Coturnix japonica: one gene and its partners. The protein of the gene in region 3 purifies or fractionates together with the protein of the main gene of each other region. This does not show direct contact. Links are inferred from orthologs where the notes say so. Each region holds a gene or a part of one and is shown on either strand. Other genes may lie near its edges.

Region 1 (4,187 bases), on a different chromosome or scaffold from region 3:
CAACTCAGCACAGACGATTAAGGAGTTCCTATTGTGGGGCACTGGGAATCTGGATTTTAAAATAGTGCTTCAAGTTGGCCTAACAGGAAAATGGAACATGCTGAGTAAGACCCAGTCCTTCTCTCAGCTCCGTGCACATAACCAGCCCGTGAGCTGCTCACAGAGCTCTGGTAGCAGCATGAAGGGCACGGCAGCAGCACATCTTTCCATCAGCAGGCAGAACAGAGCTCCAGCCTGATCTATAGTCTAACAGAGCCTGCCCCATCCTCACTTATCAGCTGCTTTCTCCCAGCTAACAGACACACAAACACCTCTCAACAGAGAAACTCCAGCTACAGGCTTGAGAAGAGCATCACAAGAGGAAAGTCAAGGGGTTGGTGATGTGCCTCTCACCTGGCGGCTTTCGCGAGAGCTTCCGGGCAGTGACCACATTACCGACATCCAATAGAGGCGCTACTTTCTCATGTTTATTCCTGTAAACTACAAACATAAGACACACTGAATCATAATTCAGAGAACAGGAACTCCTCGAAGAAAAAAGAATTAAGTGAAAGCTTCCTCCCTCACTTTTTCTTTCTCCCTCCCACTTGAGCCTTGCAGTTATTTCACCAGATTGGTCACGGTTTGGACAGCACACCTCGCTCTGCACAAATGGAACAGCAAAAAATGCAAAAAAAAAACCACCACCCCAAACAAACGCCTCTTCCCAGGCAGTACCCAAGTGGCAGCTCAAGCAAGTGATTAGAGGAACCAAACTGAGACAGCGAGGACTGGCTGGAGCCTCCAGCGCTGCTCTTTGCTGGTTTCTCTTGGGGTTTTTGTTTTTGTTTTTCTCTGAGTCGCAGAGAAAGCCAAAAGACCAACGCGAGTCCTATCCCTGCTGGCAGCGCCGAGCCAGATCCAGCTGGAATGTCAGCCCTGCGTTTCATCTGACTCAAAACGCACCCTCAAAATAAAACAAGCTACTTTTTTTAACCTAGTCATAAAGTTTATTAAAATCGTTCATTAATGCTTCAAATGTAGCAAGAATGCATAGATCCCAAAATATACATATGTATTTTCATATAGAAATAGATTATTCTTTATAATAAAAAAAAAAAACTGTAGGAACATCTTTAACAGATTACTCAATCCATGACTGACAGTTACACGAGATTGCATCATGTACACAGCATTCCCAGCCATGCTTAAAGGATTGCATCACTTCGCCCTCGCTCTCCTCTCGCCGTTTTAAATAACCCCAGCGCCCAGCAGAGCCCCGGGGCCGCGGCCCCCCCCGCGCCGCCCGCCGCCCCCTGGCCCCGGGGGGAGGAAGCAAATAGAGACCGAAACAACAACAAACAACAACAACAACAACGAAACCCCCGACGAAACCGAAAACGCGGCCCGGCCCCGGGAGGAGGATGTGGGGGGGGGGGCAGCGTTCAGCTCGCCCCGCGGCCCGGCGCGGGGGTCAGCAGCGGGGCGAGGAGGCGAGCAGGGGCTCGGGCAGCTGTTTGAACAAGTTCCTGAGGGTGCTCAGCTCCCGGGTGAGCTGCTCCACCTTCTTCTGCAGCCTCTCGTTCTCGGCCGTCAGCTCCAGCACCTTCTGCTGCGTCTCCAGGTTGCGCTGCTTGGCCTTGTCGCGGCTCTTGCGCACCGCGATGTTGTTGCGCTCCCGGCGCAGCTGGTACTCGTCGCTGTTCTTGTCCACGCACTTCTTGGGCTTGTTCTTGCCCGCCGGCGGCCCCGAGTAGCTCCCGGCGCCGGCGGCCGACTTGGAGGACTCGGAGGGGTTCGGGGTGCCGGGGGGGCTGGAGGAGGACGAGGTGGACAGGTTCCCGCTGCTGCCGCTCGGCACCGACTGGTAGCCCAGGTAGGAGCGCACGGTGCTGCCGTAGGGCGAGGACATGCCCCCCGGTCCCGGCCCCGCTCCCCCTTCTTCCTTACGGGGCCCTTTGCAAGAGTCCAGGGTCTCGAAGACCGGCTCCACTTTGGTCTCCACGATCTGGGGCGGGAAGCAGCCCGGCAGCCCCCCCGGCTTGTGGCTCTGGCTGCCGCACGGGTGGCCGTGCCGGGCGAGGCTGATGTAGGTGTAGTCGGGCTTCTTGCCGCCGCCGCTGCCTTTATAGTCCTCGGCGAAGAGATCGGAAAGGAAATCTTGGCCGCCGCTGCTGCAGGCAGGCTCAAAGTTGCCCCCTGCTGCTGCTGCGGGAGGCGGCGGCTGCGCCGGCTGCTGGGATGCTGCTAAGGGGTCCAGATACGGGCTGAAGTCGATGGCTCTCTCGTGGTCCCCTACGGTGAGCTCGGTCATGGAGCGGCCCCCGGCCGCCCGCGGGTGCAGCTTGTTGAGAGCAGCTAGACAGTCCGCCTCGTAATAGAAATTAGCCACTTCCATGGATTTAAAGGCGGGCGGCTGAATGGGGAGGCATGCTGCGTCCCAGGCCACCAGGCGTTGCATGAAAGCAAAGGGAGATGCGGGGAGGAGAAGACGGCGCGGAGGGCCCCCCCGGCACGGAATCGAGCGGCCGCCGTCGGGTGGGGGTCTCCCGAGCCCGGCGCTGGGCACGGCCCCGCTGCGCTGCCCGCCCGGGCGGCTCAGTCCGTGCGGCGCGGCGGGGCTCTCCCGCTCCCGGAGCTGCGGCTGGAGCTGGCGGTTCTCCTGCGGACCATCTGGTTGCGGGGCCCGTGTCCTCAAGTCTCTGACTTAGGAAAGTTCCTTCGCTCTGTTATTTATAGGGGCGGTGGATCCCATAGCAACAGGCGCGTCACCGCCTGGCCGCATGCCACGCTGCACGCTTCGGAGCTGCCGCTCCGGCCCCCGGGACGCCGCCGGCTGCGGGTGCGGGTGAGGTGCGGGCCCTGGGGCAGCTGTGCGGGAAAGGGACCGCACGGAGCCGCCGCCGCCAGCATCGGGGCGGCCGAGACCTCCCGTCCCGTCCCGTCCCGTCCCTGTCCCTCGGCTGCGGGGAAAGCGGGCACCGCTCGGTCCGGGACTCCGGTGCCGCCGCTGCTCTTTTGCCAGCGCGACGGGCCTTTCGCGTCTGAGAGCAAGGGCTGGCGCTGTGGGGCCGCGTGTGCCGCGCAGAATTGGGTGCAAAACCCGTCTGGGTCCCGTTTTACCCCTGGGGAAATCGAGGCAGAAGGCGTTTTTCCGAGCTCTTTTGCCAAAGCGGGGGAAAAAGCTGCAAATAGAAGACAGATCCTCTTATTCTCCGTCCAGCGCCTGACTGAGTGAACCGCACTGTCAGGCAGAACCGTCCCATTCAGACGCGGGCAGAACCATTTTACAAGAGCCGAGCGAGCGCAGTTTGGAGCGGGGCGCAGCCGGGGCCGCATCCTGACGGCAGCGAGCTCAGAGCCGAGCAGCCGCCGCGCTCCGCTCCCCATCTCTGCGTGCGGGGACCGTGACTGAAGTTTGCCTCAGTGTATTTACTTTGCACGATACCGTGCAACTGTCAGGGTACAAAGGCGACAGGGAATCCGCGGTCTGAAGCCAGAGGGGACCGTGTTTAAAGGCATTCCTTTAAACTCAGAGAGAGTGAGATACGTGCTCGGAACCGTGGAATCCGGGCACTGTCAGAATCGCGGGGTGAGTTTGGGAAGGAAGACGGAATCTCGATGTCCGTTTTAATTAAAGACACCCACCTTGGGAATCAAACTTTATTTTCACTCTCTTACTCCCACATTTACCTGTCTACAAGCTGGTGATTCATCCCCAGAATAAAGGACATTAATTTAAAACAAAACATATAATTAAAGGAAGTAGGAGTGTCCTTTGCCTCAGTAAAGAAGACCCAGCACTGCAGGGAAAATGACACTGCCTCTTAGAATAATGTGAAGCAATCCTGCGGTGTGGGAAATATGGTAACGTTAAGCCAGAGGAACAGGTATTGCATTATACGATTCAAACAGTCAACTGTTCATAATGTTCAAACCTCAAAACTTCGAAAAGAGGAAGAATTCAGAAATATGTCAGTGGATCACCAGACTTTGTCTTTCTTATATTTTTACGTTTACATTTCTTTTGCACATTTCAAGATGGTTTTGCTTTCCATAACAAAAGTACCCCAACAGGTTTTTGGGCTTCAAATATTTCTAGTTCTGTCCTTATCTCCAAGTTAATCTTTGATGAATGCACCGGAGATTAAATTGGAGCTGGGCCTGGCCAGAGGTCTGGGTCTGGAGGCTGGAGCCCATACCTTCAT
Region 2 (3,648 bases), on a different chromosome or scaffold from region 3:
TCAGTAATGTTCATAAATACTTAAAGGGTGTCAGGAGGATGGAGCCACGCTCTTCTCAGTGACAACCAATGATAAGACAAGGGGCGATGGGTGCGAGCTGGAAAACAGGAGGTCCCATGAAAACACGAGAAAAAAGTAAGAGAGCACTGAATGGGCTGCCCAGGGAGGTCGTGGGGTCTGGAGACATTCAGAACCAACCTGGACACATTCCTGTGTGACCTAATCTGGGTGATTCGGCTCCAGCAACGGGGGTGGACTAGATGATCTTTAGAGGTCCCTCCCAATGCCTGACATTCTGTGATCTCAGCACATTAAGTGAACCAACCGAGGCAGCCCGAGTGCACTCACATACCTGTTCTTCATCAGCCTTATCTCTCGTTTCAGCTGCGGGTCGTCTGTCTTACTGGACTGTGATGTCAGGGTGACAGGAGATGTCATGACCACGGTCTGAGGGAGGGACGTGGTGGTCGGCGTGGTGCGGATCTGGTACGTCTGCATGTCTCCTGATGCAGCTGTAGTAGTCACACAGCACAACATGTCAAAACAGCGTTACCAAAACACACTTGTGTTACTGATCAGTACTTGTAACCAATCTCATACTCACTCTGCACTACCACCTGGTTGCTGGGTACGAGTATCTGCTGGCCATCTGATGTCTGTGCATACTGCAGGATTGTTGTCCCAGGCTGAGTCCCGCCAGCATTCGTCATGGTTAACGTCTGCAGGCCTTGCACTCCATCAGCACCAGCACTGGCCAGCTGCAAGCCATTTGCAGCAATGGCAACTTAAAGAGAAAGGGACATGCAAGAAAAATATCTGTAACTGTACATTATAAAACACAGATAAAGCTGCTCAATGTACATCTCTCCAAATCAGCAAATCTGTACCTCAACCCACTGCTGAAAAGCATTGCTGATTTCAGAAGGGTTTTAATCAACCCATCCCTGGGACCAATAGCAAAAAAAAAAGGTGAGAAACAGCAATATGAACATCAAGGCCACCATATGAACACGGGGGACAGGAGGTCCTCCAGGCATTCTCCTGTGTCCCACAAGGAGCCTTTTCGTGTAGCTCTCAGATATACATTGGTATCTGATCACACCTTTTGGACTAAATCTAACAGACTGTTATGTGCTTCATAAAAACATCTTTGGAACACCTTGTCTGAATGTGCAAAAAATTAAGATAACAAAGAGTTTATTGTGAGCCTTTAGTAACCAGCCTACTTTCAGATACTAAACTGTGCTAATGTTATTAACTATTAGATAAATAACCAAAACTTCTGCATTTCATCTTAGTCTCAAATGCATAAGAAACAGGTCTGTATTTCACTGTAAGTTTAGCAGAAATCTATGCAGGCAAGCACACATTTTGTACGACATACTGTACTGTCCAGTGCTCGTCTGGTAGATGGGTGTGGGAACAGACATGGACGTAACAGTAGAGACCCCAGGACTTTCCTCATCTCCTTTTCTATCCCGTGTATCTTCAGAAGAGAGATCTTTCAAAATTTTTCTATTAAAAAAAAAAAAAAAGGGTTTATCAGCTGTATCAGCATTCAAAGATCACAAATTACTGCAGTAATAGTTGACAACTGCTATTTCTATTTTGCATTGCAGAAATGAACACTAATTTTTTGACAGGAAAGAGTCTGAGGATTACCAGAATTCTGCATGAGGTCCAACTCTTTCTGTAATTACATCTCTGTAGTTTTTACATTCTAAGTTTTTTATTTAATTATCTGAATCATTTCATGAGTTAACAGCAATTCAAGGCAGCTACTGATTTATAAAAGATCTGTACGTGCAGGTCAGTGCAAATCCCACATTTTCAGTAATTATCCTCTAAAAGCCTGAAATCCTCAGACTGTTAAACCTGCAGTGAGAACCTGCATCACCCAGAGTAGATTTCAGTAACCTGCAGTGTGCCAGAAACACTTCGTACTGAAGTCTGTCTTGTACTGCAGCTGCATCATTTCATTTCAGTACGACCTGCATCACAGTTTCCACCACAAACATTTTTCCAGGGGTTTAGAGTTGGCCTAGGAAGGGATTTGTCTGAGTTGCAACGTGATCCTGTTCTCTCAAGGACAAACCTTGAATATGCAGTTAGAACCAGTTTGCTCTGTCTAATGTCTGAATAAACGAGAAAGGAAAAATAACCAGAAAGTTACTTCAGAAAAGTTTAGAGTAAGACCTTTGGCTCTGTCAGCACACGGTGAGACTGCTCACTCATGCTCTGCATTTATGACATCATGGAGTGAAATCAGAGCTGATAAATAATTTTCCCTGGGCCGCATCACCTCCAAGTCAACCTCCAGTCCATTAAGTCAAAGTTTCCCTGCAGCAAAGGACAGCTCACATGGCATCCTCAATTTGAGCAGTGCATGAGTAGATCCAACACGTGTTTCAAGAGAAGGAAAACAATGCAAGGGTCGACGGAACAGAGGAACCTGCCAGAAGAAGCTGCTTTTTGGGTTCGAGAAACAGCACAAAATAAAGTGTGTGCAGCACTTACCGATACGACGGACGACGTGCTAAGATCCCCCGAGCTTTCTGAGTAGAGCCTATGCTGTCTGATGAGTCCTGAGAATCCTCACTCTCAGATAAAGAAGACACCTAAAAAACACATCCCATGTGGTTACCCTGTGTGCTACGCAACAGAAGTGCAGAACAGATTACACATGTTAGTCCTGTATGACATAAATGCAGCTGATAACACAGAGAAAGAAAAAATGGTGGATTTTTAGACTCAGTGCTAATTTTACATCACTGTAAAACCAAAGGATGCAAACCTATAAACTCCCTATAAAAAGAAAACTTGAGAGATTCTCCCACCATAATCTGAAGGCCGAGAAACAGAAACACCACTTATGTACAAACACTTGAAGTAAATGTTCTCTGCAGACAGACAAGCAGTATGTTTTGGTGACCAGAAGCTGAGAACCAAGTGACAATGGTATTTAAGCAGAAGCATATCAGGGAGTAAATATGCAAAGTATTATCTCCAGCCTTGTCCCACTGTGCTCTCAGCCAGCTGCCAAGTGTTATTCCTTTCCTTGAAGCTCTTTATTAAATAGAAGCTAACAAAACATGTATTTGTACTTATCTGTGTGCCAGCAAAAAAACCCCAACAAGAATACACACAGCTCTGAGAAAAGCTTCCCTCATTTAACTGCTGCTGCTGCCTCAGAGATAAAAAGCACAACCTACTACCAACACTGGAAAGAAAACAACAAAATCCACGTTGCTCATGTGTGACTTTTTTCCCTCTCAGCAACAAGGCCACAGTGCTCACAAATGACCCAAAAATACAAGGGTACCTTCAGTGGGGACCCTGCAGACAGGCTATAACAGGAAAGAAGCTCCAGACAACCCAGTCAATCAGGTGCTGAGCTGTTTTCAGCATGGTGAAAAGTGTTTTCTTTTCCATTATCAGTTACAGCATCAGTGGTAGCTAAAGAAGTGTCAGTGGCTTTCTTTTCATGGTTAATCAGTTGAATGTCATATGAATAGATAAGCACAGCTAAAAGGATGAGTAACCAAAGAGTGTTTCAGCACAGCTCTTCCACTCACTTGGGTGGACTGCTGCAGTCGTTTCACAGTGTAACTTCAGTGCCACGCTGCCCAGAGGGTTCTGCAGCCCAGA
Region 3 (3,648 bases):
TTGGTGTCATCTTTATGTAGGCTAAGTACAGATTTCTTAAATTTATAAGTTTCCCTGGTATCTTCTTGATTTTAAGTTAGAAGAAATCCTTTGTAGCATAAAACCCACTGAGGCTCCTGAATAATTATCTGAATACATTCAGATAGTTTTTACTGTTCTTCAGGTAACCTGTATTATTTTTAGAGAAAGCTATGTATTCATGTAATTACAAATCAATATCTTGATATATTGGTGCTGTCTCCTTTGACTCTGAAAATTATTTACAATGCATCTGTTCTCACATGGTATTTTAAAAGTAAAATCATGTGCTTTGTGTAAACTTGATTTCAGATCAGACACCAACACCAACTCGATTCTTGAAGAACTGTGAAGAAGTGGGCTTATTCAATGAATTAGCAAGTCCTTTTGAAAATGAGTTTAAAAAGGCTTCTGAAGATGACATTAAGAAAGTAAGTGCATACGTGCTTTTGGTCCTGCCGTTCAATTGAGAAGTAAACTTGAATCTATATGTTGTCTTTTAAACTATACCCGTAGTCATTGACCAGCCACCAATGTATAGTCTTCTATGGAGAGAATACAAAGTTAAGATTACTTTTCAGAAGGTTTGTTTACCTGAGTTGGTGTGAGTAGAATGGACACTGGAACACACCCACTATTTACACAGTCTGTTTTGAGCATTTAATGCTCTTTTATGAGGGACTGTCCACAGGTTTAAATGTGCTTTCTCCTATTTCTTCTATAACTTTCTAGTCCTAACTAGTTTAGGGGCCCAAAAGTGTAAACACTTCTCCAAATGAAAATTTTTGTGTCCCCTTTGAATGATTTTTACCATTGGCTGATTATATGCTTTAACTTCCACAGACAGTGATGTTTAAAATTAAATGGACTGTTTTATACATATGTATAAGTTTTTACAGAGTCAGTGTCTGGTTATTCTCTGTGAAGATTTTAGTAGATACTTGTGATTAGGACTCATTCCTGTGCATTCTTGATGAAAACTCACCTTTGCTTTGTGCTCACAGCTGTGCCTAATCTTAGCTGGTGAATGGTAACTTTTCCTAAAATCATTTGCATGATAATACAAATTCTGCTTTTGATTCTGACTTGGTTGTCTGTGAAATTCACCACTTTCTTGGAGGAAGTTACAGTTATCACAGAGTACTGAAAACATTCCAACTACTTTTAAAATTGATGTTCCTTTTCCAAGCTGACAAGAAGAAACGCAATTGTGCCAGATGTCTTTGATAACATTGGATTGCATAGCCTTCAAGTGTAGTGCTGTCCTTCCTCAATTATAACTTTCCTGTGAATCTTGGGAAGGAACTTCATAAAAATTTTTACCTGCAGTGGGAATTCAAACAAAGTCTTAGTGAAAAGCTGTATTTATACAGATGTTGGAAAAAGGAGGCTTGACTGCTAACACATGTGCATCAAGACCTTCCGGATGTCAGCACTTCACTGTTATTATTATAATAAGGCTAATATTTCTCCTTAGTTACTTATATTTTCTTGAGATATTTTAATTTTTGTGTGTGTGTTGGTTTTTTTTTTGTCTACACTGTTACATCTAGATGCCTCTAGATCTGTCTCCTCTTGCAACACCAATTATAAGAAACAAAATTGAAGAACCTTCTGTTGTAGAGACAACTCATCAAGATAGTCCTTTACCTCATCCAGAATCTACTACCAATGATGAAAAGGTCAGGATTCCTTTTTCATTTTGGAATTCACTATCTGAATCTTCTGATGATCTTTGGGTTTCTTGTACACGTTGATACCCATGTTATGTAACTGTTTGAAAGTAAATGACTTCATTAACCACAACTCCTGGATACATACTTAATTTGTTCAATTCTTTAGTTAGCTTTGCTCAGCACAATTTTCTATTTGCCTCACCTTAATTATTCAGTAAAGCTACGAAGGAAGTCAAACTTAGTATTGCTGCTATGTTAAAAAAATTGTTAAAATTGGGCTCTTTATTCTTATTTTATGCATCATCAGGCAGTAATCACAAAAAAGCAAATGAAGTGTAGCTTGAGACTATCCATGTGTACATTTTTGTGTTTATCCTGTGTTTTCTCACCAATTTTTTTGTGCAGCAGCATGGGATGTTCTATAAAAATGTACAGGGGTTGGATGGACGGTCTTTCAAAATTAAGCAGGAAAACTTTGTTTAAAAATCCATGCTCTTTCAGCTACAACAGTATGTTTAAAAGCAGTGATCTGGAGCAATTGCTCATTTAATGTTTACCTGAGGGCTGGGTTTGTGAGTTACTGTCTGTCTCAAGAGAATGTTGTAACTTAATCTGTTTCAGAACTACTGCTCTGCTGGCAGTAGTAGGAAGAAATAGTTTAATAATAAGGTTGATACATAACTTGCAGTGTTTTCATCGTAAGAAATTCTCTTGGAGAGCACAGAATTGAGCAAAGTTAATGAAATGAATTAATTAATGAAGTAGGAATGAAAATAAAAATAATAGGAGCAGAGCTTAGTAAGCAACATGGCTGCTCTGGTCAGTTTTTCTATGTGCATCGTTAGTGGGTAGTCTGCATTTGAGGGACATGGATATCATATTTGCAAAAATGAGTAGACTTCTTTGGGATTACGAGGTAATTCATACTGAAAGGGACCGTAAGACATTTCTATTCCAGCTTCCTGCTCAAAGCAGGGATTAGATCTGAGACTAAGACCAAGAAACTCAGGGCTTTATGCAGTCCAACCTTGAAACTTCCAAGAAGGGAGAATGAACGGTTTCTTTGCTTAATGTGTTCCAATACCAGACTGTCCATGTGAAGGCCATGTTTTTCTTTGTATCCAGTTTACCATTTCCTCTTGCACCACTTCTCTTATCCTCCCAGCAGACGCTGTATGTGACAGAAAGTGTGAGGAGTTTCAGTAGAGAATTGTCTTCAGAAAGCTGTTCTGATTTTTGTAAATTAGCAAAGACGAGTAATAGTATGTTATTGAAGTGATCGTGTAGTCCAAAATAGTAAAACTGGTTTAAAAGAATACACGTAAAGAGCTTCTTTGATCAAGCATATCATAGTCTAAATCTTAAATCTTCTTTATTTCGTAGTTTGGAAAGGTTTGTTTTTGTCTGCAAATAATTATTCTAAGTGCTCAAGTTTTGGCAGGAGAAAATATTAATATCTTATTTTACAGTAGTGGTTCAGTATCATTAGCATCATTACAAGTGCAAATTGTATCTAAATGCCTGGCAGTGCTTATAAACTTATTCATTACGTAATTCAGTGTTGTCACTGTAGCAGTGCTGAAGTGAAAAGCTGCTGCAGCTTAATGTTGTTTTGATGTCTGATTGTAGAGACAAGCTGAGCAAGGATGAGGGTGCTGCTTGGAGTGTGCTGCTGCTGAATGTGGCCTGCAGAAGTTGAGAAATGTGAGCAGAGTGTTGCTGTTTTCTCAGTTAGATTTTTTTATACTCCTTCTGTAGGTGTGTTGAAGGAGGGAAGGTTTGTTTCTACTCTTCAGGGCAGAGCTGGTTTTAAAATTCTATATGCCACCGTAACCATCTCCTTGGCTGAATATGTTTTAGTAGTCTTAAATGGTCACAGCCTGTTAATGTACGTGTAAGAGGGTTCTCATTTTCTTTGTAGTTGTCAGAGCTATTTCTTAGACACTCTTGAAAA

What was found.
Region 1: the proteins of ATF2 (region 3) and CEBPB purify together in Homo sapiens (affinity purification with western blotting; 3 studies listed by BioGRID and IntAct, with this or other methods). This does not show direct contact. The link is inferred for Coturnix japonica from reciprocal best matches to the Homo sapiens genes ATF2 and CEBPB.
Region 2: the proteins of ATF2 (region 3) and ATF1 purify together in Homo sapiens (affinity purification with mass spectrometry; 3 studies listed by BioGRID and IntAct, with this or other methods). This does not show direct contact. The link is inferred for Coturnix japonica from reciprocal best matches to the Homo sapiens genes ATF2 and ATF1.

Annotation. Positions count from the first base shown.
Region 1 is NC_029535.1:12,271,874-12,276,060, forward strand, and holds CEBPB (CCAAT/enhancer-binding protein beta), read right to left. Parts: upstream 2,820-4,187; 5' UTR 2,441-2,819; coding exon 1,454-2,440; 3' UTR 446-1,453; downstream 1-445. UniProt on the Homo sapiens protein: Important transcription factor regulating the expression of genes involved in immune and inflammatory responses. Also plays a significant role in adipogenesis, as well as in the gluconeogenic pathway, liver regeneration, and hematopoiesis.
Region 2 is NC_029544.1:195,780-199,427, forward strand, and holds part of ATF1 (cyclic AMP-dependent transcription factor ATF-1), read right to left. Parts: intron 2,619-3,648; coding exon 2,518-2,618; intron 1,516-2,517; coding exon 1,385-1,515; intron 785-1,384; coding exon 605-784; intron 513-604; coding exon 353-512; intron 1-352.
Region 3 is NC_029522.1:14,860,559-14,864,206, forward strand, and holds part of ATF2 (cyclic AMP-dependent transcription factor ATF-2), read left to right. Parts: intron 1-330; coding exon 331-449; intron 450-1,571; coding exon 1,572-1,700; intron 1,701-3,648. UniProt on the Homo sapiens protein: Transcriptional activator which regulates the transcription of various genes, including those involved in anti-apoptosis, cell growth, and DNA damage response.